Tamandua tetradactyla: one gene and its partners. The protein of the gene in region 2 purifies or fractionates together with the protein of the main gene of each other region. This does not show direct contact. Links are inferred from orthologs where the notes say so. Each region holds a gene or a part of one and is shown on either strand. Other genes may lie near its edges. The genes, in order: FAM83D, CSNK1D, PER1 and AKAP9.

Evidence for each region.
Region 1: the proteins of CSNK1D (region 2) and FAM83D purify together in Homo sapiens (affinity purification with mass spectrometry; 4 studies listed by BioGRID and IntAct, counting the BioPlex papers as one, with this or other methods). This does not show direct contact. The link is inferred for Tamandua tetradactyla from reciprocal best matches to the Homo sapiens genes CSNK1D and FAM83D.
Region 3: the proteins of CSNK1D (region 2) and PER1 purify together in Homo sapiens (affinity purification with mass spectrometry; 4 studies listed by BioGRID and IntAct, counting the BioPlex papers as one, with this or other methods). This does not show direct contact. The link is inferred for Tamandua tetradactyla from reciprocal best matches to the Homo sapiens genes CSNK1D and PER1.
Region 4: the proteins of CSNK1D (region 2) and AKAP9 purify together in Homo sapiens (affinity purification with mass spectrometry; 4 studies listed by BioGRID and IntAct, counting the BioPlex papers as one, with this or other methods). This does not show direct contact. The link is inferred for Tamandua tetradactyla from reciprocal best matches to the Homo sapiens genes CSNK1D and AKAP9.

Annotation. Positions count from the first base shown.
Region 1 is NC_135327.1:13,074,435-13,081,831, forward strand, and holds the start of FAM83D (protein FAM83D), read right to left. Parts: upstream 3,012-7,397; 5' UTR 2,959-3,011; coding exon 2,482-2,958; intron 1-2,481.
Region 2 is NC_135332.1:74,589,887-74,596,736, reverse strand, and holds the start of CSNK1D (casein kinase I), read left to right. Parts: upstream 1-3,836; 5' UTR 3,837-3,895; coding exon 3,896-3,971; intron 3,972-6,850. UniProt on the Homo sapiens protein: Essential serine/threonine-protein kinase that regulates diverse cellular growth and survival processes including Wnt signaling, DNA repair and circadian rhythms. It can phosphorylate a large number of proteins.
Region 3 is NC_135332.1:61,966,577-61,973,468, reverse strand, and holds the start of PER1 (period circadian protein homolog 1), read left to right. Parts: upstream 1-3,875; 5' UTR 3,876-4,418; coding exon 4,419-4,590; intron 4,591-4,705; coding exon 4,706-5,123; intron 5,124-5,235; coding exon 5,236-5,334; intron 5,335-5,427; coding exon 5,428-5,582; intron 5,583-5,677; coding exon 5,678-5,799; intron 5,800-5,895; coding exon 5,896-6,097; intron 6,098-6,239; coding exon 6,240-6,291; intron 6,292-6,435; coding exon 6,436-6,578; intron 6,579-6,892. UniProt on the Homo sapiens protein: Transcriptional repressor which forms a core component of the circadian clock.
Region 4 is NC_135327.1:124,513,743-124,521,308, reverse strand, and holds the start of AKAP9 (A-kinase anchor protein 9), read left to right. Parts: upstream 1-4,552; 5' UTR 4,553-4,868; coding exon 4,869-4,916; intron 4,917-7,566. UniProt on the Homo sapiens protein: Scaffolding protein that assembles several protein kinases and phosphatases on the centrosome and Golgi apparatus. Required to maintain the integrity of the Golgi apparatus. Required for microtubule nucleation at the cis-side of the Golgi apparatus.

The DNA of each region.
Region 1 (7,397 bases), on a different chromosome or scaffold from region 2:
TGCTCCTTTCCTCCCTCTGAACCTGCAGTAGCTCAATCACGGAGAGAATCGGGTCCAAACTTCCATGCAAGGCCCTGACAACCGAGCTCCCGTCTTCCCCTCAGCCTCCTGCTACCACTTTCTGCTCCCGCTGTGGGGAACGTGGCTGGCCCCAAACGTGCCAGGCCCTCCATGCTGTGCACTGGTCTCCGTTCTGGACCCAGCTCCAAGGTGACCACCGCTGCTGAGGCTTTCTTCCTTCAGCCCCCTCCCTCTAGAGATCCTGCAGCCACCTCCCTCATGGCTTCCCACAGGCAGGCAGGTTCTCAAGTGCAGGCAAGGACCCTGCCCCAGGCCCTGGCACGGTGCCTGATGTGGAGGAGGCGGTGAATGAGCAAGTAATTTTGGCAGATGGCACATGCACTGAAAATACTCATTGGATTTCAAGGTAATTGTGGTAGACTGAATGATGAACCCCAACAAACACATGTTCTTAACCTCAATCCTTATCCCTTTGGGTGTGAACCCATTTAAGCAGGACCTTTAGAAGATGTTTTAGTTAAGGTGTGGCCAACTGAACAAGGGTGGGTCTTAATCCAGATCACTGGACGCTTTACAACAGAACCCAGAAGTCACAGAAGCTAGAAAGGAGAGGATGTTGCCATGTGACAGGAGGCAAAGACGAAAGCCAGAGAAACCCAAAGATTGCTGGCAGCCAGCACCAGAATGCCAGAGATTTGGGGCAGAAAGCAAGTATTACTAATATCTTGACTTGGGATTTGTAGCCTCAAAACCATGAGCCAATAAATTCCTGTTGTTTAAGCCAAAACTACCTCGTGGTATTTGTGACATAGCTCTGGCAAACTAAGACAGTAACTTACCACCTTTCTCAGCTAAAATTACCCAGGTTCCAAATGCAGACTGTCGGAGAGTTGAGTACACAACTGGACTAGGGCCACCGGACAGAGGGGCAAGTCATGGGGCAGGTTTTTACCCAGGAATGGAAAGGTCGCAGTGTGTATTACAGAATGCCCACAGCATGAGGGAGGATCTGAGCTCCAGCCTCAATCCCCTTCTAAGGCCAGCACACGAAGTTCCAGAATGGTTCTCCCAGGAGCCTCTAGCTCCAGGGCCCCTTCACTACCAACAAAACAGGGGGCTGGGCCAGAGGTTAGAGTAACCCACCTCTCTCTCTGCCCTGAAGACCCATTCAACACTCTTCTCAAATTTCAAGTGCTCAAGTTCCCCAATTAAAGGTAAGCTTTGGGAATGCACATGTACGCCACAATTCTGCCTTTTTCCATCTTTTTAATGAGCCAGTAAGTAAGGTGTCTATTGCATCAAAAGGGCCTTCAGCACACTCAACAAACCACAAGGCTGGCACTAGCTCACTCCATCCACTACAACTTCTGACTCCACCAACAGGTAACGAACCCTGGTGCAAGTCGGGGCTGGTTCCATAAGACAAGCTGCACAGATGGTTTAACCTGGTGAGCACACTCAGATCCCAGCCCTACCAAGGCTTGCCACGGCCTTGGCACAGGCAGACATCTAGCCAGGGAGCTGCGCAGACCAGTCAGCAAGCAATGTAGCAGCTGACCATGGCCTTGGACTGAGGAGGGGGCCTGCTGTCACCCCCACCTACCCCACTCATCTCATGCACTCCGGTCTTCCTCCCAGATTCCCAGGTGCCCAGCACCCTGCTGCAGCCTCATCCTAGCTGGCAGATAAGTATGATACCTCCCCCCTCAACACACCCCAATACCATACCAAGCTGAGTGATACAACAGGACCAGTCCCCACTGAATAGTGAGGCCCACCCAAAGCAGGGTGTCTACACTCTTCAGACTGGGGCAGCCACACCCCATCCATCCCCCCGAGGTCTGTAGCAGGTGGGAAAAGAACAGGGCTCTCCGCCTTGCCACTTTCCTATTTGTTTGCTTTCTACGATATAAGGCAAGCAGATTCGACTAGCAATTGATTCCTAATGCCTCACCATTGTTTCTGGGGACAGTTACCCTTCCAGAACCTTTCCCTAGGTAATGAACTCCTGTAGGTGGGATCAACCCTGAAAGTTGGCTGACAACCAGAAAAATCGGCGGGCTGACTGGAACTGAAATCTGGAGCTGTGAGCATTTCTGGCCCCTCCTCCAGGCCAGATGGTGCTGGCAGTTGGTGCCTGAGGAGAGGAACACCGGTTGGGGAAGGCGAGGGCGGTGCCGCCGCCAGGCCCAATTCGCATCCCTGGGGAACGAGGCGCCTCCCTTTCCCCGCTGCCACACGGAGCGGCCCGGGAATCTGGGATCCGGGGGGATCACACGCAAGTGGGGAAATCGAGGACTACGGGATCACCCGACCCACGATTAGGGTAGGGTGCAGAGGACGTCGTGGGGCTCGGCCAGCACTCCCAACACATCTCCCTTTCCCATTACTGGGGAAGGTCTCCAGTCCGTCCCGGGGCCCAGAAGGACCCGAGGGGCCTGGCCGGACCAGGCCGCTCACCTCTCGCGCCGAGCGGAGCTGCTGTCGTAGGGCGTCCTTGCAGCCATAGGGGCCGCCGGCGCCGATGCCGCGGGGCTGAAAGTGCGCCTCGACCCGAGTGGCGCCGCGGTAGGCGCCCTGGTAGAAACTGGGCCAGCCGAGCTCCAGCAGCGGCGGCTCCAGGTCCGACTGCTCCGGGAAGTACGTGCCGGACGAACAGTCGTGCGACGAGCCGAAGGAGTCCTCGCCCCCCGCCGCCGCGCCCTGCTCTCCTGGCCGCTCGACCGAGCGCAGGATGGCGTGCACCTCGTCCGGGTTCAGAAAGCGGCCCAGGCACTCGCGACGCAGGAAAGCCGCGAAGGCGTCGGGGCCGCCGGCCACCAGCTCCTCCAGCGCCAGGCGCTGCGCCTCGCTGTACAGCTCGGCCGGGTTGGGCGGCCCGCACGGCGACAGGCAGGCGGCGGGCACCTCGTCCAGGATGTCCAGCAGCATCGCCATAGCGGCGCTCCGAGGGGACCACGCTCCACAAGTTGGAGCAGCGCACGTCCGCTTTTATACGCAGCTTTGAATCAAACTGGCCCGCGCCATTGGCGGCGTGGCCCCGCCCTGGCTTTCCCATTGGCTGCGCGGAGTTGGGGCTGGGCATGCGCCGCCACGGCCCCGCCCCTCGAGGTGCGCCCGGTCGGACCCCGCACCTCTGCATTGGCTACGAGTAGCTGCCACCCCTGCGCTTGTGGCCCGGTTGCTACGCGGGATTTAAATTCGGAAATTGTACATCACCGCGGACCCAGCGGCTCCTACTGGCTTCGCGGGTAGCAGCGCGCATCGCGGGGAGCCAGAGAGAAGGAAGGGTGGAGCCGAGGGGGCCTGGGCGGCAACGAGGGGCGCGAAGACTTCCCTGAGGCCCAAGGACTCGGTCCCCGGCCGCCCCAGCGCGCCCCCTGCCGGCCGCCCCGCAGCCCGGGTCTCCCCGCCCGCGCAGTCAGCTGTCGGCGGGGTGTCTGGGCACGCCGAGGCGCTGCTGCTCCTAGGCCCTCAGAGCTTGCGTGTGACCCACCATGTTGCTCTTGTCCCTTCAGTTGATCATTTATTTATTCGTTCAGAAAAAAGATTGGTCTGGCATAGTACCCATTCCTTTGATTACACCCTCACGTACCTTGTTGGCAAAACCCCAAGCCTGGTCGAGCCCCGCGCTGTGCTTACTTGCCACCTGCACCCGGGCAGCCAGACATTGCCGCACGAAACACAACTGCATTGGAAATTCACGATCCCAAGTGGGCCCTGGAGGCTGCCTGCTAGCCTCCGTTTTCCTCTTCGTTAACTTGGTTCCTCTCCTCCTTCGCACAGGAGCTCCTGCTCCCTGTTTTCCCCAGAAAGTACAAACAGAAGAGAACGGCCACACGCCCCGCCACATATACCTCCCTGTCTGCACCTCCGCCCCCATACTCCTCCCTTGTCACCACCGATGAACTGCTCTCGAGCCCAGGGTCAATCCTTATCCTAGGCACTAGCTTCCAGCCTCTCTGCTACTAACCCATCAGTCTTGCGATTCTCTCCTCTCTCGTGGATCACCAGTGTCCCTCCTTTACTGGCTCATTTCTATCAGCATGCAAACATGCTGAACTATTTTTCATCTTTAAACAACCCTCCTTGTTGTTGAGGGTTAAACAACCTACCTTCCTCTAGAGGTATCTCCCCATTTCCCTGCTCACTTTCACAGCATAAAACTTTAAGAGTTGTCTACATTTGCTGTCTTCAATTTCCCCCCAGTTCTTTCTTAAACTCTCTACAGTCAGCCTATACTCTCAATCACCCTAAACCAAAATTTCTTGTGAAGCTCACCAGTGAGCTCCACGTTGCTAAATCCAATAGTCAATTTGCAGGCCTCATCTTCCTTACGTAAATGAGAGAACATAGGGGAAACTGTAAAGTGCTTTCTATGTGAGAGGTTACCATTTATTACTTAGCAGCCAATAAACTTTTTAAATGAATGAATGTCAGCTGCTGCTAAGACACATCTCCTTCTCTCTCCATCCCCAGCCTGTGTATAAGTTTTTAAAACCCCAGAGTGGGCCCTTCTGTGTGGGCTGCTCAGGCTTCCAGCATCCAGAAGGCTACAAGAGGGCACCATTTCCCTCCTCCCCCAAGACACCAGTAACCTTCTGCTCTTGACAGGGGCTGTGGGCTGGGGCTCTGCAACCACATAGCTAGTCTACGCTTCTATTGCCTCAGGCATAAAATAAGAATAACCTGGATCTTGCCTGCTCTACTGTAGCAAGATGAGGTACTATGCAGTAGTTTACTTCTCTGCTATAAGCCGTATGGGAAGGGCAGGGGGGACAGGACAAGTCAGTGCACTCCAAGAAGGAAACAGAGAAGAGGGTCACCCCAGCTCCATCTAAATATGTCATGAGGCAAACATTTGAGAAGTTGGGGTGTCTATAGGAGTTGTTACCTGGCCCCACATTAACTCCAAGGGGAATATTTGACAAAGTGAAGGTCATTCCCAACCATAGACCTTTTCTTGAATTCATCAGGTTCCACCGTCTCCCAGCCTAGCAAGACATCCGCTCCAGGTCTGAGTCCCCGGAGTCCCCTTTCATCTTCTGGAGGAGCCCTTTGTGTTGGGGGACAGGAACTGGGAGCCCTCACCCACCCTCTGTCTCAGGTACCTCCCCTTTGAGTTCAGGTCAACGCAGTCCAAGTGAGCTCACAATGACCACAGTCACATTCGCAGGTGTTATTAAAAGGAATTTAATAATCTTAATTAAAAACTCTTAACAGCGAATTCGTCACAGGCCTTGGCAGCTGGAGGCTGCCCCGGGGACAAGCCCCTCTGGGATGTGGCTGAACCACGGTCTCGGACACGAGGCTCGCCACTGCCGCGCGGCGAGGAGCTACCCCGAAGTTACTTCAATACAATATCAAAGATCCGCGAGGAGTTTTTTAAAAAAGTTTTTAAATATATTAGACTCTCTTGATTGCCATTTTTTACACAAAGCTGCTGATACAGTATACAGAGTTTTATCTTTTTTTTTTTTTCACATAAAATACATTTTTGTTAAGTGTTCTCTGTACATCAGTGGCTTCTGGTCTGGTGAGTTATTGCGGAGGGCTGGGGGTCTGCAGACTTTTCCTGGGTGTGCAGAGCCAGGCCCCCCCGCTATGGCACTTGCAGTGCCCGTGGGAAGCAGGCCCTCTGGCCAGCAAGAGACTCCTGTTGAGGAGGGGGCCACAGCTTCTGGCAAGGAGGGGGGTCACTTCTGTGGAGTCATCCACTGACCACGGGCCCCTTTTTTCTTCTGAGCCCTGGGAGGGGAGAGGCTGCCCTCATGCTAGGAATAGCAGGAGTTAATGCAAGTCCTTCTGGGCATCTTGTAAGGAGCACCCTTTTGGAAAGTACCCAGGGATCCTGCTCTGGGAAAGCAGGTGGGAGAGAGTGCTCAAGATCAAAAGGTAGCCGACACCAGTAACCAAGATGATCTCATGTTATTACAAAGCTAGAAAATGAGGGTGGGGAAGAGGGCACACCCTTGTTTACTTTTCTAAGCCCCTTGAAGTTGATTAAATGGTGCAGAACAGTTCTATGAGTGCTGCACATGTGATGGACAACCCTGAAGTCCTCAGCAGAGCTGGGCCTAGGGTTCAGTTCAGCTTCCTTGAGCTAGTGGCCAGAAACTTACAATCTGCTGTCAGTCACCAATTTTCAATTGTTTGGGGCATAGGGTAGGAGCAGGAGCCAGAGCACACCAGTCGCTCCAGGTGCGCAATGTGGCACCTGGTTCAGAAGCGGCCTCCTTTAATCTGCCAGGATTTGCCACCAGACCTGGGTCAGCAGGAGCTGGGCATCTGGTCAACCCTGCCAGCCTTCTCCCAGTTCCCTGAGCCACACCTGGCAGGGAGAGAGGCTGATCCAAGAGGAAAAGCTCCAATGCTTAAAAGTGAAGCCCGTTTAACTTCCCAGTTTCTGAGGGACTGAGGAGTGACTAAATAAAACTAGCAAGAGACAAAGGCTTTAAGAACCTGAGATGCATTTGGCAGCAAAGTCCAGCTTCCTGATTCATCCAAATGCCGACCTCACACCCTATCAGGCCATTTCCCCAAAGATGCTGGCCATCCCAAGGTGGACATGGGATGGTGTCTTACCTGGAACCCAAGACCTGGCATCTGCGCTTGGTGGCACATGTCATCCATGAGAGGCCATGGTAGCTGTTTCCCAGCTAAAGGGATTCAAATCTGGGGATTCTAGGAGCTGACAAGTTGAGGGATGTTGGACCAGGATGTGATCATCTGCTAAGATGAATTGAATGGGCTGGTCCTAAGGGACAAACACTGTAAAGAACAGTTCTCCTCACTGTCTTGTTCATCCTTTGTCCCCAGAACCTACTGCAATGCCTGGCACCTCACAGCTACTCAATACATTGCATGAATGAATAAATGAGTGATCACAGCCCCAAGGTTGTGCCCCAGCTTGCCCCCCCCCCCCGCCCCCACCCAATACCTAGGAGACCTACAGGGAGAGCTCCCAGGTACCTGAAGCCCTAAAAGAGAATGCTTTATTCCTGACTCAAAGCACAGCCTGGTGATGTATCTGAAGTTGGCTCAAGCCAGTATTTCCAACCAGCCGGTATTTCCAATCTTCCAGGTGGAAGAAGAACAGCCCAGAAGGCAGGAAGCCAGAGGGGAGGAGGAGTGCCAGAGGGCTCATGGTGAGTTACAAATGCCTTTGGTCGCTGGCATCTGACCGAACAGATCTGAAAACCTGCCCAGCTCTCACCTGAAAACATGTGGCTTCCCTAAGCACACCCACCGTGCAGCCCAGTTGGCTCAAGGGGAATTTCAGTGTCAGCTGGGCTGAATACTGCTTTAAAGCCAAAGGTGTGTGTGTCTTGGATCACCTGACACACAGGATCAGCCATAGGCTGGGGTGATGGGAG
Region 2 (6,850 bases):
TCCTCAATAGCCACATGTGGCTGGCGGCCACCGTGCTGGGCTGCAGGGCTCTAGAGGGTGGAGGATGGGGGTGCAGACTCACTTCCACTGCCCTCCTAGTGTGGGTTCAGGGCACACACCTCTGCCCAGCTACTCAGAGGGAGTGTAGGGGGTGCACGGCCAGGGCCTGCAGGCTGTGGCTCCCATGTGGCCTCTGCTGAACCCCGGCCTCCCATAATGCCCCACCCCCTGCAATCCCAGTCCCCGCAACCCCCGCCCCCTGCAACCCAGCCCCCCAGCAACCCCAGCCATCGCAACCCCAGCCTGCAACCCAGCCTTCTCTCAGTTCTCCCTGGTCAGCAGCTGGGTGCTAGCAAGGCCCTGCCGCATGCACAAACGCACATGCACACACTTGTGTGTATGCACATACACATGCACATATGCATGCACACGGATGTGCACACACACACACTGCCTTTCAGCCTGGAGATCTTTCAGGTCCCACCCCAGGCCTCCAGACTGGCTCCCCATCCCCTTGCACAGATCTCGGGGAGGGTCACTGCCCCGTGCACGCCCCACCCCACAGCCGGCTCCAGTTGGCAGCTGCCCATATGAAGCATGGTCTGCTTGTCCGGCCTCACACAGCCCTCCCCGTCGCACTCCCCCTGAGGGCCCAGCCCTAAGCCTGGAGAACGAGGGTGGGCTTTGACAACAAATGGTCTCCCCGGTGTCTCCAGGGGGCAGGGAAGAGGGAGCTGGGGAGGGGAGAGAAGGGGCTTGGGGGGGACAGCTGCCCACCCTCCTGCTGGAGCACTGAGGAGACCCCAGAATTCGACCCAGCCGCATCTCGGGGCACCCATGGAGGTGGGGTCTGGCAGCTCCGCTCAAAAGGCAGAGACACACCCCGTCCTCATCACCCATGGGGACAAGGCCAGCCCCCAGGCTGCGGGGACACCCATCCCACGGGCCTTCCCTCCCGCTCCGGCCTCCCACCCAGGCCGCCAGCTCCTGTTACCTGGGCTGCACGCCAGGAGCAACTCAGGGGCTGTGCCCCCCAACCCCTCCAGCGCCCATGGTGCTCCCGGACCTGGCTGTGTCAGGAAGGAGGACTGGAGAGCTCCATTGTCTGCTGGGGCAGCTGCCCCCGGATTGGGGAGAAGGTGGTGTGGCCACCGGGCCCAGGAGGGACCTGAGTGCCACAGTCCAAGAGAGGGGGCAGGCGAGGGGGGGCCGAGGGCAGGAGTGCGGCTCAAGGGCCACCGTGTTGGGGGTCCCAAGAGGGAGCCGGGGAGGGTGTCGGGAGCTGGGTTCAGAGCTGTCGTCTGGGACGTGCGCCCACTAGCTGCATCGTCCCTCGGTCGGGCGCCCCTGCCCCTCCAGGACCGGGCAGGGGGTGGGCCTCAAAGGCCCCGAACACTGGAGACCAGACACCCAAACAGATACACGTTCCACAGCTGCAGTCTTACTCACGGTTGTTCACAACTGCCGATGGTGGAAACCGCTCGAGTGCCCATAGGTAAAGGAGGGATAGAAAATGCGGCCCGTGCACACAATACCACTCAGCGGGAGAAGGGACCCACTCGACAGCAAGGATGAGCCTTGCAAACATGAAACAACCTAGAGAGGAAAGGACAGGTACTGTAAATTGCACTTATGTGAACTATCTAGAAAGAGCAAACCCACGGGGAACAGATTAGAGGTTACCAGGAGCAGGGAGGGGACTTGGAGGTTAATGTTTAACGGGTGCAGTTTCACTTGGGGCAATGGAAACGTTCTGGTAATGGATGGGGGTTATTGTTGTACAACACTGTAAATGCAATTGATGTCACTAAATCGAATACTTAAATGGCAATATTCACGTTACATATGTCACCACAATTAAAAATTTAACGAGGACACCCTGGGCAGGGTGCAAGGGGCCTGGCCTGGCCTGAGGTGGCCCTGGGGGGCCTGGGAGGGAGTTTTGGGAGGAAAGTCACAGGCCAGAAATGGCCCCCAGGGCAGGAGGGGCAGGTAAGCCGTGCTGGGGCTGAGACACTGGAAGGCCACCCCGGTTGTCAGGGCAAGGTCTGCCCTTGTAGTTTGGAGCTGGGTGTCCGTCCTCCTCAAGGCCTACTGTGCTGCCCGGTGTGGGCGTCCCTTGGGCCTCCGTGCCTGAGAAGTTGGCAGGGCCAGGCCCAGCACTGCTAACACAGTGCTTCTGCAGTGGGTGATCGGGGCTGGCTTGCTGGGTCACACAGGGCAATAGCAGAGTGGGCTGACCAACCGAGCTCCAGAGCCTGCTCCTGTTTTCCAGCAGCGTCAACAAATAGAACAAGGAGAGGGTGTGGGCATAGAGTGAGCTTGGGTTCCAGAGAGAAGCCCCTGCTCAAGGCCTCCAAGCAGACCTCCCATGCCGGGGTGAGATGCTGGGGAGCAGCTGTCTCCAGCAAAGCCCTGCGAGTCCTGGGGCTGGAAGGGTGTTTCCTCACAGGACAGCAGGGCCCCGGTGGGTCTTGCGTGTGGGGACACGGAGCCGAGGCCCCTGGACCAGGCCCTGGTGGGCAGCTGCCCCTCCCAGGTCTCTCCCACGCTCCCTTGTCAAGGCAACCCCCACATAGGTTGAGTTTCCTGATCAGTTAGGAGAACAAAGTGGAACACCGCAGAGCCCTGGAGCTGAATGTGGCCGGAGGCCCTGGGAGGCCTGGCTACTTGCAGAGAGTGGACCCCAGGCCACCTTATGGTGCCGGCTGAGCAGGTGGCCTTCCCTGGAGGAGCTGCACACTGTTCATCCAACAGACAAGCCAGGCCTGAATTCTCCCAGCAAAGTTCTCTTTACTGGTTTGGCAGCCTTGTCCCTGGATTCCCCATGAGGCTGGCTGCGAGCACCCGGCCTCAGCTGGACCCTTGTGCGCTTGGCTGGGCCACTTAACCCTGGGGAACGACGCCTGCCTCATGCCACAGGATTTCCAGGAGGGGTGCAGAAGCTGGCAATGCAGACGCCGCCCCCCCCCCCCCCCCCCCCGCGCTGAGGGGCCTGGCTGTGACCTTGTGCAGAGAGCCCGGTGGGTTTGGGTACAAACAAACCTTATTCTGCTTTGCACGAACATTCAGACCCCACCCAGATTAGAAACATGCCGACATCGCTCCAGGCCCACTTTCCATTTCAGAGCCCTCTTAGCTTGGACCTGCCACCCTTGCACGGTGACAAAGCGCCAGCCCAGCGCTGGCCTCGCCGCCATACGTCCACCCCAGAATCCTGGGCCCTCTCCCTCGGCCTTCTCTCTGGGTGACCCCTGAGGCGCCCGGCCGTGGCGGGTGGTTCTCCTGCACAGATCTGGGGGGCCTCGGGGCGCAGGTCCTCAAGGCCCATCTCTCTGGCTCCGAGGGAGCCTTTCCAAGTGTGCGCCCCACGCCCATCTACCGGGGGCCGAGGAGGCTTTCCCCGCGCAAGCGCTTGGGGCCGGCCGGGGGGCGAGGGCGGGACGGGCGGGGTGAGGCCCTTAAGGGTCGCGAGGAGGCCGCGCCCCGCCCCGCCCCGCCCCGCCCCGGAGCTCTCGCCCCGCCCCCAGCGGCGCGGCCCCGCCCAGCAGGGGGTTGCTAGGGGAAGTGACGTCACAGCGCGATGGCGGCGGCTCCTTTAGGCAGCTGGTGTGGGATTTAGGCCCGGAAGATCCGAGTCCATCCGCGACGGGGAGAGGGCAAGTGGGGCTGGCGGGGGTCGGACCAGGGTCGGCGACGCTCGGACTGTCCCATCCGCCCCGTATTGAGGCGCTGGGAGCGGCGGGGCGGCCGGAAAGCGATGGTGAAAGCGGGGCTGTGAGGGGGGCGGAGCCGGCAGCCGGACCCGCAGTAGCGGCAGTAGCGGCGCCGCCTCCCCGGAGCGCAGACCCAGGAAGCGGCCGGGAGCGCAGGAGCTAGACGGGCCGCCGCCGCCATGGAGCTCAGAGTCGGTAACAGGTACCGGCTGGGTCGGAAGATCGGCAGCGGCTCCTTCGGAGACATCTATCTCGGTGAGGCCGCGGCGCTCCCTCGGGCAACCCCTGCCGCGCGCCCCTCCCCCAGCCCCGGACCGACCCCCTCCCTAGCCGACTCCGCAACCCCGGCCCCTGAGGACGGCGGCGGGCGCGGGAGTCTGGGCGCCGGGACCTCCGCCCCGTGTCGAGGCTGGCTGCACACGGCTTCGAGAGCCGCAACTCAGCCCCAACCAGAGCTGCGGGACAGGACCCGCCGGGGGCAGCTGGGAGGAAGCTGGGGGCTGCAGGGGAGGTCCGGCCCGCAAGCCTGGGCCGCGCCCCGTCCGCTGCCCGGAGTCCGAGCAGGCCCCGCCGGAAGTGGGGGCCCGGGGGACGGTGAGCTCGAGATGGGCTCCCCTGGAAGCCCCCATTGTACGATGTGCCGCTGCCGTGCGTAAACTGCCAAAACTCGGCCCGGGAGGCCAGGCTCGGTTTCTCTGACCGTTGCGGCCTTTTAGGAGGGCGTCCGGTCGTCATGTCACCCACAAGGAAACCCAGGCCGGGGCTCTTTGCTCTGCAGTCCTGTCCGGGCCTGGTACCCGTGGCTCCCCCTCGCCAGGCTCGGCCCTTGTCAAAACCACGGGACTGCGGTGTGCAAGTGGAGGGTGCCCCGTGGGCAAGGGGAGCTGGGTCTGGGCTCAGCTTCCTCATTCCCCAGGTGCCTGCACCTGGCCGGGTGGATTCCTTCTGGACTGTGACCTTGGTCCAGCCGGAAGACCTAGGAGGAGGGCCTTTCTGTCCCTGAAGAAGACTGGCAGGTGTTGAGTAGGACGTGTGCGCCTGCAGGGCCTGTGTTTGTGCAGGTCCTCAGCTGCTGCTGCTAAGCTCTGTGCTTGACCAGAGCAGGCAAAGCTGGGTGGTCACCATGTTGGCAGAATAGAGGCCGATAAGGCTGTGGGAAAGGCCTACCCGAGTTTTTCTCTTTGGGTAGATTTGGAAGATGTTTGGGCTTAGAATATTCTGGGTCATTTCACATTTAGAGCGAGAGAAATATGCTCACATGTACACATAGGTGTGATATAAGATCGGCTTGAATCTTGAAGTTGAGAAGTTTGAACTTACGGTCCTTTCCTACTCTTTTGGGGAAGAATTGTGTTATGTGTATGTTATTCCAGACCCGCTGAACTTGAGACGGTCCAGCCTGGCCCGCAGCAAGTTGCAGAGAGATAGTTGCGTAAGTGTAGAGGTTGAAGAGCCCCGTGGTGGTGTTGCTGTTTGGCTGGTGTTCCTGTTAGAGTCAGGAGCTGCTGTACCTTCCATGACGCCTTTTACATTATCTCAGTGTGGGCTCCTCCCCCTCCCTCCGTCTTTTCACTTGAGAATAGAGGACAAGGGGCTTGGGGGGGGCCTGTTAAAAGGAACTTTCCTTACAGCTTTTGGGGCCTGGGTGACCTGCAGGATAACCCATCAGGGGTATAGTGATGACTTTGACTCTGGTCTTTCTGGCCTGCTGAGTATAATAGGCCTGAGAGACATTTGGGTTTTACCATTTAAATATTTATATCCAAGAAGTCAGTCTGGTCGTTCTCAGCAAGGCGTTGGGAGGCGAAGGGCTAGATAAATGCAAGCTGTTTGGCTTATTTATAGAACAGTAAATTTTGGCAAAAGTCTTAACCTCGGGATCTAGGAGCTCTGCTGAAAAGCCAGTCCATTAGATGTTGAAACTTTTTGCCAGGTGAGACCTGGTGAAAATGGCTTTGTGCTTTGGGAAGCTGGGTCCTGACAGTCGGGTGGTATTCTGGTTTCAAGAGGTCGTTCACCAGGATGGAAGCTCTTCTCTTCAAGTGGGGAGCTTAGTGGGGGTCCCGTTCATCCTGGAGGCCTTGCCTCGCCCTGGCCCCATTGCAGGTCCTGCGTGCGCAGCTGACCCACCTGCTCCGCAAGAAGGGGACTGGCACTCAGGTCCTTCTCTTGGCACCCACACCGCCTATTGTCGGGGCACACTAATCATTGGTGTGGGATTGGTCATGATGACTCCCCCCCAGTCAGCATTGGCTTTGGGTCCACCCTTAGTACTCAGGCTACACACTTCCCCACCATGGAAATGTGGTGGTCTTGTAAGCTTGAGTGCTTATGTGGCTGGGAGGGCAGGCCCAAGTACATCCATCGTGTGCGGGGCTTGGGCGTCCACAGGCTACATGCAGTTGCCGAACTACAGCTCCTTCCATTAGTGTAGGCAGTGAACTGGGTCCTGTTCTTGAAAATCTGGTCCTACATATCCTGGTGTGATTAATGATTAAAATCCTTCCTACTGTCATTCCTTTGAAGTTAGTCAGAAACTTGACTCCTCTAAGTACGGCTCACGTTTTCATGAGATTGGCTTGCTGGGATTTTGGATTTTACCTGGGACTTTATATGTTTTCTGATGTTTGAAATGGGATGGGGGGGCTTCAGTTTGCAGAACGCTTCAGGGCCCGTGAAGACCCAGTGGCCTGCTGTGCTTAGTTACTCATGAGGGCCTTGGCTGGTTGTCATCTGAGTCCTTCTAAAGCTTTATAACAGAAAATCGCTCCATCAGAAGGGGCAGTATCTGGGACTATTTCTTCAACTCCCAGGCTTCAGGCAGTCTGCTTATTAGACCTGGGACTTCCCTCCCTCTCAGCCTGCTAGCAGAGCTGGTGGGAAAGACTTCCCAGACCCAGCTACCTGTGTGGCCTGCCCTCAGAGTCCACACCTTGCCATCATCGGCTGCTTATGGGAAAGATGTTTAGGGGGAAAAAGGCTGGTATTGCTAACATGAACCATGCTTTCCAACCTCCAGTGGATGAGTGTGAACACGTGGTGGGCAGTCCAGGCGGGGTCACTTCTCTTCAGCCAGGGCTGACAGAGCCCCTGTCAGACATGAGCGCAGGAGACGAGACGCAGGGCAAGCAAAG
Region 3 (6,892 bases), about 13 Mb from region 2:
TTGGAGTTTGTGCAGATATGGCTGTTCACATGCCTTCCTGAACCCCTGAAGTGGGGAGGTACCAATAAATGCTGTGGTATCTCTCTGTACAAACAACCAGGTCTGTGGAAAAGTGACCTGGGGTCAGGTGGTAGTAGGGGAAAGTGGAGTTCCTAGGAAATCATTTGGGGCTGGTGGCTGCCAGAGTGATTTCGAAGACTTTGTGAACATGTGAAAACTGCGGATTTGATGATTAGAAGGGTGTGGGGAGTACAAATTGAATGTCTTGAGATTGGACCCATGGGGAAGGCGCCACTGGATGAAGTCTGTTCAGGTGCCAAATTTAGAATCTGCTGGATATTTGAGAGGCACAGGTTCCCCAGTGCTGAGAGACAACTTAGAGGCTAGATACCTAGCAGCTTCCTGGAGGGTTAAGAGGATTAACATATTATGAGACATACAATTTAGGCAAGTAAGCCTTAGTCTAAGCCTTAATCATTCCCCACAGAGTGCTGATAACAATGCCTGTCTCACAGAGTTGTTCTAGGGCCCCTAATCTCCTTCTAACAAAACAACAGCAACAGGGTGAGAGATTTCTGTGAATGCCATGGCCAGAACTAGGGATTTACATTCCCAAGTTTTTGGTGCTTCCCTCCCCACTTACTTCTCTCTGATCCTTCTGGTCCTCAGAGAGCAGCCCATGTTCCCTCCTCCCTCCCTTCTATCCCTTTCCCAGACCCAGACCCCAAGTGGGGTCAATTGTCCTGTCCTTGTCTGATTTCTTCATCTCAGGCCCATTCTTCTCTCTACCCCTCCTCCCTTCTTCTCTGCTGTCATAGTAACAAAAGTTTCAGGCTCTGGAGGAAAAACTCTGGGAGGGAGCAAAGGTGCCTGTTCTCTCCCAGAACTTGGGCCTCCAACTTCCCCGCCCTGGCTTTTTGGTACCGGGCCAGCAGATGTGTATAGCTTGGATCGGCGGGAGGAGAGTCAGTGCCAAGAGCTGTAGGAACAAGACGAAGGGAGGGTGCACATGAGACCCAAGAAGAGGACCAGGCATTGGGGAGGGGGGTCACCCCTGCTTCCTAATTCTCTCTCCAGGAATTCCTGGCTTTGGGATAGGACGGCTGTCGTTGGGCTGGGGAGGCGCCCCGGGCTGGGTGCATGTCCTGGGACGCCAGCCAGGAGAACATGATGTTCCCAAGTGCGCCGGCCGCCGCCCAAACCGCTGCCTTTCCAGCCTCCCTGCCCCACATTCCCCGGCTGCCTCGCCCCGCCCCCTTCCTCCGCTTTGACGTCACCGCTCTCTCCCGCCCCCTCTCCTCCATTGACGGCAGCAGGGCCTGGTTACTGTGGGGACCGCAAGGCTGAACGACCTGGGCCTGAAAAGCAGGTGGGGGCTGTTAGAACGCTGCACTCCTTTGTCTTTGCAAAAGATAGGCATTGAGGGGACTTCGGAGAGCAAAGAACTGCCTGGATCAGGGGAGACTAAGGGGAAGTTGGGGAAAGGAGATCGCATCGACATCCCTGAGGAAGAAGAAAAAGGTTGTTTACCGAGAAGATGTGTTTGAAACTGAGACCAGGGACACAGCCACGATTGAGAGGGAGCGGAAGTCTGTGACTTGGGGGAACACTTTCAAGGAGAAGGAACTGAGCATTCAGGCCCCTGAATCCTTTGTTTTCTGTGCTTTCCTCCTTTGGTTTTTCTGGGTTATTTTATAACATCCCTGTGTCCCAGCTTTTCCAGTGAACCATCCCCCCGCCCCCACCATGGGGAACACTATTGTTCAGGAAAGCTTAGGCCATGTGACAATGAAGGGACTGCACCCACAGCTGATTATGTCAGCAAAGCAGCCTGGGTGGCCTCTTCACTTGCTACCCACGTTTCTTGGAAGCCAGCCCTGAGAGATACTACTCATTACAGCATTGGAAATTAGATGGAGGGGCCTGGCAGTTTCCCAAATCAGGCCTTGTTCTCTTTCTAAGATCCCACCCCCACCCCCTTAATAAATTATAACTGCCAGTTTCTCCATTGCTGAGGCTCAGTCATTGCATTCCTGCTCCTTACCCCCACTGCTCTGTCTCCTTATTAACAAAATCAGTACATTTACTAATCACCATACTACAGGTCCTGTCCTGGATGCTGGGGAACGGGGAAATGAGACAGGTGAGGTCCTAGCTAGCTAGGTCCCTGGCTCTTGACTTTCTCTTTCCCTAACAGAATCCTTAGCCCCTGGCAGGGGCTTTCCCTCTGTGGGGACCCAGCTTGTCTCTTCTCTCAGCTGCCCCTTCTGTCCCCCCGTAGTTCTGGCTCCCTGACTCCCACTTTTGGGGCAGCCCTAACTCTGGGTGGTTGCATCCTCAGGAGAGAAGTGCTAGTGGCCACCTAGGTTGTCCCGGAGACCTGTTCTCTGATTAGCCCCAGGAGCCTGCCATTATTTCCTTCACAGCCACTATTGGCTCTGGCCCTTCCATTGTTTTCCTCTTCTTCCCCTCTAGGCATGGCATTTGGACCCTCAAGTGCCCTCCTCCCAGCTGTCCTCAGGATTTTAAGTGTCAGAGGAAGGGGTTGGGTAAAAAGGCATCTTCACATTTTGAAGACCAGGCTAGGAAGCTCGCGAGTGGTGGTGGAGGCAGGAAAGGGGAGGGGGTGGGGGCAGCAAAGGCCTCTCATTCTCCTCTCAGGGAACAGCGTTTTAGTCCACCTTCTGGGGTCTGCATTCTTTCCCCCTTCCCTGACAAGACCAAGGTGTCCTGTCCTGCAAGGCTGGTCAGTTTAGGAAGTAGACGTTTCTTGAGCGCCTACTGTGGGCAAGCATTTTCCCTACAGAGGAACAGCTTACCTCCACTGCCTCCCACCCATTATTCCCTGTGCGAGGCGTCCTGAGCCCATTGGCTGGGCGGTGTCTGGGGCCCTTCAGCCCAGCGCCAGCACCCAGATCCACGTGCGCCCGTGTGTGTGACACAGCCCTGACCTCAGTGGGGGCCGGGAGCCAATCAGGCGCCGGGACGGGATCCCCAGCCAATCGGGGGCGGGGCCTGTGGCTGCGGGCAGGGAGCCAATGAGGGGCCGTGCCTGGCATTATGCAACCCGCCTTTCGGCCCCGCGCAGCTTCCACTTCGCCACCGACTGGAGCGGCGGTGGGCAGGCGGCCGAACGGCGTTCGCGAGGCCAGGTAGGCATCTCCGCAGCCTCCCTGGGCAGGTCGCCGGCCCGGAGCCGGTCCGCCGCCAGTTCCAATCCCATGAGCCGCTTTCATTCCGGGCGCTCACGCGGCACGCAAGTAACCCTTTCTTTTCCGCTGTCCACCGCATCTGTCCCCCGGGACCGCGGTGGCTCTCGCCACCCTTTACTGGGCGGCCGCACGTCCGACCGGTCTACCTTCCTTCCCGCTTTGCCGCCCCGCTCCCAGCCATTCTGGCCTCACACCCGACCCTCTGCGAGCAGGTCCCCTTCCTCCTTTCTTGTCATTCGGGGTCCCCTGTTGTACCCCGGCACCAGGGTGCAGCAGACCCCATCAAGGCTCTCGACGCTCCCCGCTCTCCCCCCTCCAGTCCCTGGCCCCGCGCCGGCCGTGATGTCAGCCGGCTTCGGATTGGAACATCCCGTTCCCGGCGTTAGTTCCTGCTGTTGGCCACAGCCTTCCCTTTTCTCCTGGCGCTCAGAAAATGCACGGGGGGGGGGGGGCGGGGGGGGGGAGGCGGGTGTGTGTTTGTGTGGTGTGGTTGCACGGGGAGCGGAGGGAAAACTATCCGCTGGCTGTTGTGCGTCCATTGCTCAGGGCTCAGTGTGTCTGCTTCGGTTGGGGAGATGGAGGCCAGAAAAGTAGGGGACTCAGGAGGGGATTTCTGGGCTCTTGACGGCAGGTACCGGCTTCGGTCTTGGGGGGCGGGCGGGGTGGGCAGAGGCCGAGGGGAAAGAGAAAGCCTGTGTCGTCTTGACCAGAATGACTGGGACCCAGGCAAGAGCCAGCTTGGGGGGCTTGGCGCAGAAGGCGGTGGCGGTGGGAGCAGCTGTTGTGTTTTCTCCGCGAGGAGCCCTGGGCCAGTCTCTGAAATCCGCTGCGCCGGCCGCCCCTCTTCTTAAGACTGCTGGGCCGTGCGAGGACTGGGGGTGTGTTGGGGGGAGGGGCGACCCCGGGCCGCGACCGCCAGTGTGGGAGTGGGTCGTTCCCCCGCTTCCGCCGGGAAATGGGGGAGGGGACACCCCTCCTGCCTCCCTGTGGTCCCCCCAGCAACCGCTGAGCTCAGCTGCTGACGTCGGTTTCCCTGGCGACCGCGGCGGCGGAAGCGTGTGGTGGGTCCGCGCATGTGCGGTGGAGATAGCGCCGCCCCCCCCAGATAAAATTAGCCGGGAGGCCTAAATATAGGAGGCAAAGGCTCACCCGGGCTCTGCGGAGTTGGACCCGTGGGCAGGGTGGGGGCTAGATGGGGACTCGGGCATGGGAAGTGTCCAGGCTTGGGTCTTCGGCGGTCGACTGCACAGGCTCTACTTGCTCAGGCCGAGGCTTGCAGGGGATGTGAGAGAAGGCCCAAAGGAGGCCCCTTTCCACCTGTGGCTCCTTTCTGCCACAGGAAACGAATCTTCCCTAGGCTCCCAACTGGAAGCCCCAGGTCTGGGATCCAAGAGCTTGAGGACAGGCAGGGGAGGGTCTGAGTGAAGCCAGCCAGTGCTCTGAGGTCAGTACCCCAGTTTTTCCAAGCTCTCCTTCCTGGTTTCCCTCTCCAGGTACTGGCTGTGATCGAACTTCTCAATCCTCAGACTTAGGTCTCCAACCCCACTCCCTCATCCAGGCCTCCAGGCCCCCTGGTGCATCCGTAGTGGCCTCCCCTTCTTCCCTGTTCTCCTCCTGCCCTCCCCATGGCCCAGCTATGAGTGGCCCCCTGGAAGGGGCTGATGGGGGAGGGGACCCCAGGCCTGGAGAACCCTTTTGTAGTGGGAGGGCCCCATCCCCTGGGCCCCCACAGCACCGGCCTTGCCCTGGCCCCAGCCTGGGAGATGACACCGATGCCAACAGCAATGGCTCAAGCGGCAATGAGTCCAATGGGCCCGAGTCCAGGGGTGCCTCTCAGCGGAGTTCACACAGCTCCTCTTCTGGTAATGGCAAGGACTCTGCCCTGCTAGAGACCACTGAGAGCAGCAAAAGGTGTGTATGAATATGGGGTCGAGGGGCTGGGTGTAGTCTTATGAGCAGGTAGAGCTCAGGAATGAACCCTATGCCACTCTCCCCTCATCTTGGGCTTCTTGTTTCTCCCTAGCACCAACTCCCAGAGCCCGTCCCCACCCAGCAGCTCCATTGCCTACAGCCTCCTGAGTGCCAGCTCAGAGCAGGACAACCCATCAACCAGTGGCTGCAGGTGTGTGGGACGAGAGCCAGGGGAGAGGGCTGAGGGTAAGGCCAGGCTACAGAACTCATGCATGTATCTCCTTCCTCCCTGTGGGCCTTACAGCAGTGAACAGTCAGCCCGGGCAAGGACCCAGAAAGAGCTCATGACGGCCCTGCGGGAGCTCAAGCTTCGACTGCCACCAGAGCGCCGGGGCAAGGGCCGTTCTGGGACCCTGGCCACACTCCAGTACGCGCTGGCTTGTGTCAAGCAGGTGCAGGGTGAGTGGTGCTTCCTGGGAGGATAGTGGTCAGATGCTAGGCTGGCCTGGCTGGGATGTCTCCTCAATGCAGGCCCCATGGCCCTCACCCTGCAGCCAACCAGGAATACTACCAGCAGTGGAGCCTGGAGGAGGGCGAGCCATGTGCCATGGACATGTCCACTTACACACTGGAGGAGCTGGAACACATCACATCTGAGTACACGCTTCGCAACCAGGTCTGCAGTGGTTCAGCCTGTCCATTCAGACACACCTGCCACCACCCACACAGCTCCTGAGTCTGTTCTTGATCTCTCCCTGCCCTCCTTGTCTAGGATACCTTCTCGGTGGCCGTCTCCTTCTTGACAGGCCGCATTGTCTACATCTCAGAGCAGGCAGGTGTTCTGCTGCGCTGCAAGCGGGATGTGTTCCGGGATGCCCGTTTCTCAGAGCTCCTGGCTCCCCAGGACGTGGGTGTCTTCTATGGTTCCACTGCCCCATCTCGCCTGCCCACCTGGGGCACTGGGGCCTCAGCAGGTGAGGTGCCTGAGGGCTGAGGGGTAGGTGTCAGGTATGAGCAGGCCCAGGAAGCTTCTATTGGAAGGAATCGGAAAGACAAGGCTTCCCCTTGCTGCAGAGGCCACAGGGCTGAGCTTACTACCTTCCTGGTCTGCCTCAGGTTCAAGCCCCAAGGACTTCACCCAGGAGAAGTCTGTTTTCTGCCGTATCAGGTAGGTGGGGGGTTGTGGGGGACTGGAGTCAGTACCTCTCATCTCTTAATTTCTTTACTGTTTTGTGTGGGCTACAACCCTGAGCATGAAGGGATGGGCAACCCTCCCTTAAAGATTCCTGATCCCTCCTCCCTCCCTTGCCAGAGGAGGTCCTGACCGAGATCCTGGGCCTCGGTACCAGCCATTTCGCCTTACCCCATATGTAACCAAGATCCGGGTCTCAGATGGGGCCCCTGCACAGCCGTGCTGCCTGCTCATTGCAGAGCGCATCCACTCGGGTTATGAAGGTAGGCACATGAGGGGTCTGACCTGCTGGGCTTGGGGTGTAGGCACTTCCTGGGCCTAGGCAGGGGGTGAGGCAGGAAAGGAGTCTTGGAGGTACAACCCAGCCCATTACAATTTTGGAAGAGAAGAAGGTATGCTAAGGATGAGGACTTGGGCCCCCGCAGAATTAGCTATGAGCCTGGGCTAGGAGGAGGCAAAGGAAGGGTGTCTTGGTTCTCAGTTTCCTTACTGGCAAAAGAATGCCCAGCCCATCTTTGTAGGCCATGGGGCCCAGGGTGGAGCTGGGGAGAGGACTGCCAGCCAGCCTGGACCCCAG
Region 4 (7,566 bases), on a different chromosome or scaffold from region 2:
AGCTCCTGTATGTCATTTGAATTGTTGGTTTGTTCCTTTGATTGGGCCATATCTTCAATTTTCCTAGTGTGATTTGTTTTTTTTTGCTGGCGTCTAGACATTTAATTACCTTAATTAGTTTATTCTGGAGATTGCTTTCACTTCTTTTATCTAGGGTTTTCTTGCTGGATGAATTTGTTGTCTATCTGTTCTTTGACATTCCCTTCAACTTTATTTGGGCCTTTAGCTTAAGTTTTGTTTCACAGAGGAGAATTTTTCAGTTCTTGTTTTCTTGTTTCTCGCCCTGCTTGTGAGGTGCCTTCCCACACACACGCACTTAGGAGGGTCTACTTAGATATTATATACTCCAGCCGGATTTTCCCAGACCAAACTGGCCTACTATCAGGAGGAAAGAATCACTTGTGTCGGTTTTCCCTGAGGGTGAGAACCAGCAGGTTGAAAGACTTTTCTGTGAAGTCTCTGGACTCGGTTTTTCTTATCCCCCCTGTGTGTGGCGCTTGTCTGACTGCAGGTCCCACCAGCATAAGATGATGTGGTACCTTTAACTTTGGCAGACTCTCCCTGCTGGGGGCAGGGTGGAGACAGAGGAGAGGTTGTAGGCTGGTTTTAATGGCTTCAAATTACCAAGCCCAGGTGTCTGAATTCCTTGATGGAGGGATTCCAACTGAGTGGGGCTTCACCGCTCCCCTGGGGAAGGCAAAGACTCCAGACAAGTCCCCAAAAGAGCTCACTTCTGCCTATGCCTGGGCCAGTTGCAGCCTGAAAAGTCCTGCCGCTGTATCCAGAGGCAGTCAAGCCTTTGTAGATACACAGCCACAAAAAGCTCTTTTTCCTTCTTCTTTTTTCACCCCCTTTTTCTGTCAGTCCTGCCCCCTTGGCACCGGGGCAAAAATGAGCAACCTCTGCTTTGATCAGGCTCACCTAAGCTGGGGGCCTATTTTTAGTAGTCAGAATTTGTTAATTAGTTCCACAATTGGCGTTTGATTGTGCCCAGTCCCTGCTGCTGGTAAAGTCCTTTCCTTTTCCCTCTGGGAAGTGGCCTGTGGGGGAGGGGTGCTGGCCACCACAGCTTTGGGAACTCATGGTTCTGGGGGGTGCTCGCAGCCAGTCCAGCTGGTCCAGACTGGGGTATGCTGTGTGTCTGGTCACTGACGTGGCCCCAGGAGCTGTTCTGTACTGTTTCTGGTTATTTAGTAGTTGTTCTGGAGGACGAACTAAAATGTGCACATTGTTAAGCTGCCATCTTGACCCGGAAGTCTCCTGTCATTCCTCCGTCTTTTTTGCTGATTTCTCTTTCCTTCCCTCCCTCAGAGTTGGAGTGCTCCAAAACTCAGTCATTGTATCACTCCTTTATCTAAACTTGCTTCCTAGAGTATGACTGTGCCACATACGCAATTTAAAATTTTCTAGCAGCCACATTAAAAAAATAAAAATAAACTGGTGAAATTAGTATGTATTTACTTAACCCAAAGTATTATCATTGCAACATGTAATGAATATAAAAATATTAATGATATATTTTAAGTTCTGTTTTTAAATGCTAAGTCTTTGAAATCCAGTGTGTATTAAATTTACAGTATATCTCCATTCGGTCTAGTCATATCTTCTTGCTTAGTAGTAACATGTAGATAGTGGCTGCTATATTGGTTAGTGTGGCCCTAGATGATCTCATCCAATCTCTTACCTTAAAATAATATCGATGTTCTGACTCTTCTCAAATTATAACTTGGACCTTTTTCCTATATTCCTGACTCAGATTTCTAAGTATCAACTTATACATCACTTTTTAAATACCTAACATATATCTCCAACTTACAATCTCCAAACTCTTGCTCTCCTCCAAATATGCTCTTCCCCATTTGTTACTGGCATCACTTCAGTTGCTGAGGCCAAAAATGTTGGAGTCAACTTTGACTCCTCCCTGTCATAAACATCACATTCAATATAAAACTCCCGTGACACAATTAGTTCTATATTCAAAAGATATCCAGAATCTGATCACATCTGATCACCTCCACTACCACTACTAGGGTCTAAATCTCTTATCATCTCTTATCTGGGATAATGCAGTAGCAACCAAACTGATCCTCCATAGTCTATCCTCTTCACATGTAGGAAACAAGATAATTGTGTTACAGTGATACACAGCTCAAATATTTAATGAATGGGTTGGGGTTATATAGGATTTGGCATAGATCTAGAGAATGGCAACTAAAATGATCAAATATATTTTAAAAATATCTAAGCGTTTCTAAATCAGATCTATGTATTCAGTATGTGACAGACCTAAGGTCTTTATTTAGTCTCTCCCTTCTTCTTTTCTTTCACCCTTAATTTTCACTTAAAACCAATTCTACAATTGAATTCATGGCCTGTTTTAGTTCATACCTGCTAGTTTTTCAGTCCAATATAGCTCATAACAAAGAAGAAATATGCTTAACCTAAGTAATCAGTCTGAGACCTTAAAATTTATAGTTCACCCTGGAATGAATTTGAAGGTAGGAGACTGGGAAGAAAAAAGAAAGTACTGAGGGAACAGATGAGGGAGGGGAAAGGAAAGAATGTAAAGCTCAATTCACAAACATGGCGCAATTCAATTCAACAAGTATTTAATGGGTGCAAAGTACTGTCATTTTGGTAATGCAAAGATAAAGTATGAGCTTTACTAAGAAGTACATAAATTATTAAAATATAATTAGAATACATAAAGAAAATACAAGGAGAAAGAAAATTGACATTATTTGTGTTCATTTTATTTTTATTTTTTTCCTGTCATTGGCACTTTTATTTAGTTTAGTATATGTAACAAATATATAACAATATGCTCTTTCTTATCATGGGTGGTCTTTTATATAACTAAAAATTGTAGCCAATATTTTATATAATAAAGAAAAACTGTAAATTATCAGAAAAGTAGCAACAATATAGGAGAATCACACATTTTACATAAATTATAGAGGTCATTGACAATGAAAACCCATTACTTAACTCAATTTTATAAAATAAAGTCAATATATATTATTCTGTGAGTTGATAAGACTGCATTTTAAATACTGTGGCCCTTGCAAAAGACTGTAGTCAAAGATGAAATGTTATTTTGATATCATATGTTGTTGTTAGTTGAACTTCCTTTCATGGTCTTCTTTATGTGATGGTACCTTGACAAGATTTTAATCAGGAAATCCAGCTGTAGCGTCTGGGGCTGCGGTAGCTCAGTCTACACCACAGGAAAGCAGTCTGCACCACAGATTACTGTATTCTCAAGGATGACTTCAAGAGTATTGTTTGCAACAAGCCCCAATGATGCACTCATTTATACTACACTTCTGCCTACATATGCTTTTGACTCAGCATTATTATCTCTCATTTTCATGACTTGGGAATAACAGCCAACTTCAAACACATTATTGTACCAATGGCCAGAGGATTGGATTCTGAAATCTCCAGCAAGAGGGGTGATATTATAAGGGTGAGCATTTATAATAAGGGCCTGTCCTTCTATTATGTTCCCTTCACCAATTACTATTGGCCTGGCTCTGCAAAAATTCGTGCTTTAGGGTGGATCACCGTCCTAGGTCCTATAGTTACATCTTCCCTGATTTCACTTTCTACACACACGGCTGCCCCAGGAATGATTTTCATAATTTTTTGAGTCTTCTCTGCTATGGTTTCGCCTGGTCTCCAACAGGAGTCGAGATGGATTTAATCGCCTGGGTAGGTCGATGATTTCCCAGTTGTGTTAGTTTTAATGTGCCAGGGACAGTCACATATATTAATTCGTTTAATCCTAACAACATTTCCAAAAATTCTAGGTGAACAAACTGGAGCTCTGGGAGGATTGGTACCTTGTTGCAAGATCATTAAAACTAGAAAGTGCATAATGGCTTTGTCTCCACCCCTGGGTCTGAAGCTTATGCCCTTTTCTGAACACCATCGCTAAGGGGAAGCTCCAAGGAGGGAGGGAATAGAGTTAGGGGACATAGAGGAATAAGCCATGACTGGAAACATCTCCATTGAGGTGGAGGGAATAATAGACATCAATAAAGCTACTTGGAGGCGACACCTCAGGTGGGCCTTGAAGGACGAATAGGGGCTTGGGCGGGTAACAGTATGGGGAAGGAGGGGCTTTCAGGATAAGGAAGTAATGAGAACAAGCAGCTGCTCTCCTAACTCCTGGAATAGAGTCAGTGCAGGTTGAGAAACTGACTCCCCCTGACCCCCCACTTTTTCCTTTTGGGCTTTTCAGTGCTCTCTAATCTCACCATTAGACATCTTTATTTTTGTAATTAAAAAAAATGTTTTAAAAGCGACCACAGAATTCCTAGAACAGTGAGTGGGGGTCCGACCGGATGCCCCCTGCCCTATCGCCCTTCCTACCCGACCCCTAGTCCGCCCCCACCTGGAAGCTGCGCATCCCGGAGGAAGGACAAGAACCGGCCAAGGCTAGAGGAGCACCCACTCCCTTGGTTCTTAGACTCGAAAGCTGAGAACTGCGTGGACAAGGGTCGCTCCCGAGGTCCCGCGCGCGGTGGGGAGGGGCTGCGGGCGCACCTGCCGAGCCCAGCGGGACTCGCGGCGGCTGCGCGAACAGACGTCCGCATCCCGCTCCCCTGCCCCTCCCCCCAGCCAACCCGCGTTCGGCCTTGTGTTTACGTGGAGACGAAGATGGCGGCGGTGGCGGCGTTCCCTGTGCGGCCGAGGACGACCAGCCAGTGAGCGAGGCAGCTGGTTCGACTGCGGGCGCTGGAAGCCGGGCTCGGCCCTGCTCTCTGGGCCCTGGAGCTTGCCGTCCCACTACGTCTGAACCGACCTTTTCTTTCTACCTCCAATCCCCTCCCTGTCTTCCCCCACCCTGCCCTGCAGAGGCCATGGAGGACGAAGAGAGACAGAAGAAGCTGGAGGCCGGCAAAGCTAAGGTAGGAAAGCCGGAGGCAGCCTGGCCGGCTGTGGGAGGCGGCGGCTGGGGAGGGTGGGAGGGGGCCACGGAAACGGAGATCGTGGTAGCTCTAGTGCGCTACCTTGAAGGGAGGTTCTTACAGACGTCTTTATTTCCCCCTCGCCACCGTCTTTCCAATAGTGAGAAAAGCTTCTAGCAAATGAAACTTCCGCGATGACTGGATCGTATGGCCCTTTTCTTTTTATTGCCCAAATGAAACCCTTCTATTACTGTAGTGCTGCTATAAGCTGATATTTATTAGTCCTTGATCTCCAGTCTTTCACTTTTTTTTAAAGGAGTTTTCTGGGTGGCGCAGGCATTGTTTTCCAGGGTGGGGATTTGGAGCTTTTCTTTATTTGATGGGGGATTTGTGCGCTGATCATCAGCTTGACTTCCTTAGGTGGCACGCTGGCACTCTTGGGTGTGTGTGATTGGCCTCTGTCAGCTGCCACAGCAGTGACTTGAGTGTGCCACACGTGCCAGCTGTGAAGTTCCTTTAGAGGCGTTTTTTAAGCGTGCTTTGTATGTTTGTGTTTGGAGGTCTTTGTCATGGCATGCGCTTTTGTATTGTGTGGAATGTTAATGCATTCCGTGATTGGAGTTCTGGGAACGACAGGTTCCGTATTTTAAGCAACACCTATAGAATCCCTGCTTCAAATACTACCTAATGGTTGATTGTGTATGAATATATATGTGTGTGTGTGTATCGGGTGACTCCTGATTTTATGTGTGTATATGTATGAAAAAGCCTGTAAAGTACACAATACACAGTTATACACAGGTATCTCTCAATTGAGAATTTGACGAAAAATTGGCATAGACAACATATAAATTAAGTAGCATGTTTCTTTTAAAATGTTAACGTTTGAGATTATCTCTTGGCCTTAAAGACGTTCTACAATGAAGTTACCTTTTATAGGTTAGATTCCAATTATCATATCAGAGGTAATTGTTAGCAATCATACTTGATTCATAATTAAATTATAGCTGTTTTTCCTTCCTCCCTGCTCTCCTCCCATATAAATAGACAAAGGAAACTGGGTCAATAATTTGGTAATCAACAAAGGGCCGTATTGCAGAGATGCAGCAGTAGATGGTTAGCCCAAGATTGTTAAATGAATATATATGTACACTAGTTTCATATTCCATAAAATTCCACTTCAGAAGTCAAGGCTTAGGTGCTTGTATGTACCCAGGTAAATTATTGCTTTAAAGTCCATAAATGGGGGAAAGGAAAATGAGGCTATTTTAAGAAGCCCAAAGTCAGTTGCTTACATTTTGTGCAGCCCCGAGGGTCTGAGCAAGCTCTATGCAGCCAAGGAAGTGGAGGTAAAGTGTGCACCCTCTTCCAAAAGTCTCTAAGTAGACAGTTTATATCTTGTCTATTACCTCAGAATTTTTACTGTCTGCTCCAGAAGTATCTTTTCTAACTGTATGTGAAACAGTCCTACAAAATACAGTTTACTTCGGCATAAATTCACTTTGGACATAATAACCCATAATAATTAGGGGATTTATTTAAATTGCTTGCCACATCATTTGATTTGGCAAAATAGAATTCTATTTCTTTGTGTGAATGTGGTTTTTTTGGTGTTTTAAAATTCTACCGATTAGGGTAAAAAATCTTTTTCTTTTAACTTTAACTTTTATTGTAGATTATCCTCTGGAGTTGAGCCCAGTATTTCCATTGAGAAATGAAAGTGTGCGGCATATAAAGCAAGATATATCTGCTGCAGAATTAGCTGTGTAATATAAAAACACTAGAAACAACCTTCAAAGACGACATTAGAAGAATCATTGTCTAAATTATTTAAATGGGATGGCATATTATACAGCCATTAAAATTTTGAACAATGATAGGAATATGGGAAATAGAGTGAAAACAGCACCATTAGAAATAGTGTATATATTCTTATTTCAGTTGTGTAAACATGTAAACTTGTAAATTAGGACTGAAATAACTCTGTGTTATAGTTTTTCAGCAAATCTGTGTTGAACTTCTATGTATACCAAGAGCTGAAACCTGGAGGTGTTTATGTAGGCCCTGCTCTTAGTTTATTGGGAGAGACATACAACTGAATAAAGAATAGAAGAGAGGAGGTAGTAGGATTTTGGGTGATCTTTTTACATTTGTTAAAATATGTTAAATGCTGCTACTTCATCTTTAAGAATATTTTACAAAGATAACTGTTAACATCATACTAATAATGCAGCCTAGATAATGCCTATCAGATAGTAGGTACTTGATAAATATTTGCTTAATGAATGAATGAACAGAATGACTGAGTCATAAATGGTTTCCTAGCATGGTTGTGATTTAATGACAATATTCCAGAGTTCTCTTAATAGAAGTCAGTTTCCTAATGGTTCTCACTTTAGTGTAGTCTTGTAACTGTAATTCTTATCCCTGTGCTGCTTGTATTATATAAAATTAGATTTCTATATTATTAGATATTTATAGATCTTTCTGTTTTTGTAGTTCTCATCCCTCCTTTGCTTTCGTTTCTCATTACTATGGACATGCTCACCTTGTGTTGCTTCTCCTCATCTGTCTTTTCCCCTAATTTGTTGTTTTAGATTTGCTGTAACTAGAGAGTGCAGATAACTGAATTTGATGGAATGGCTTGTAA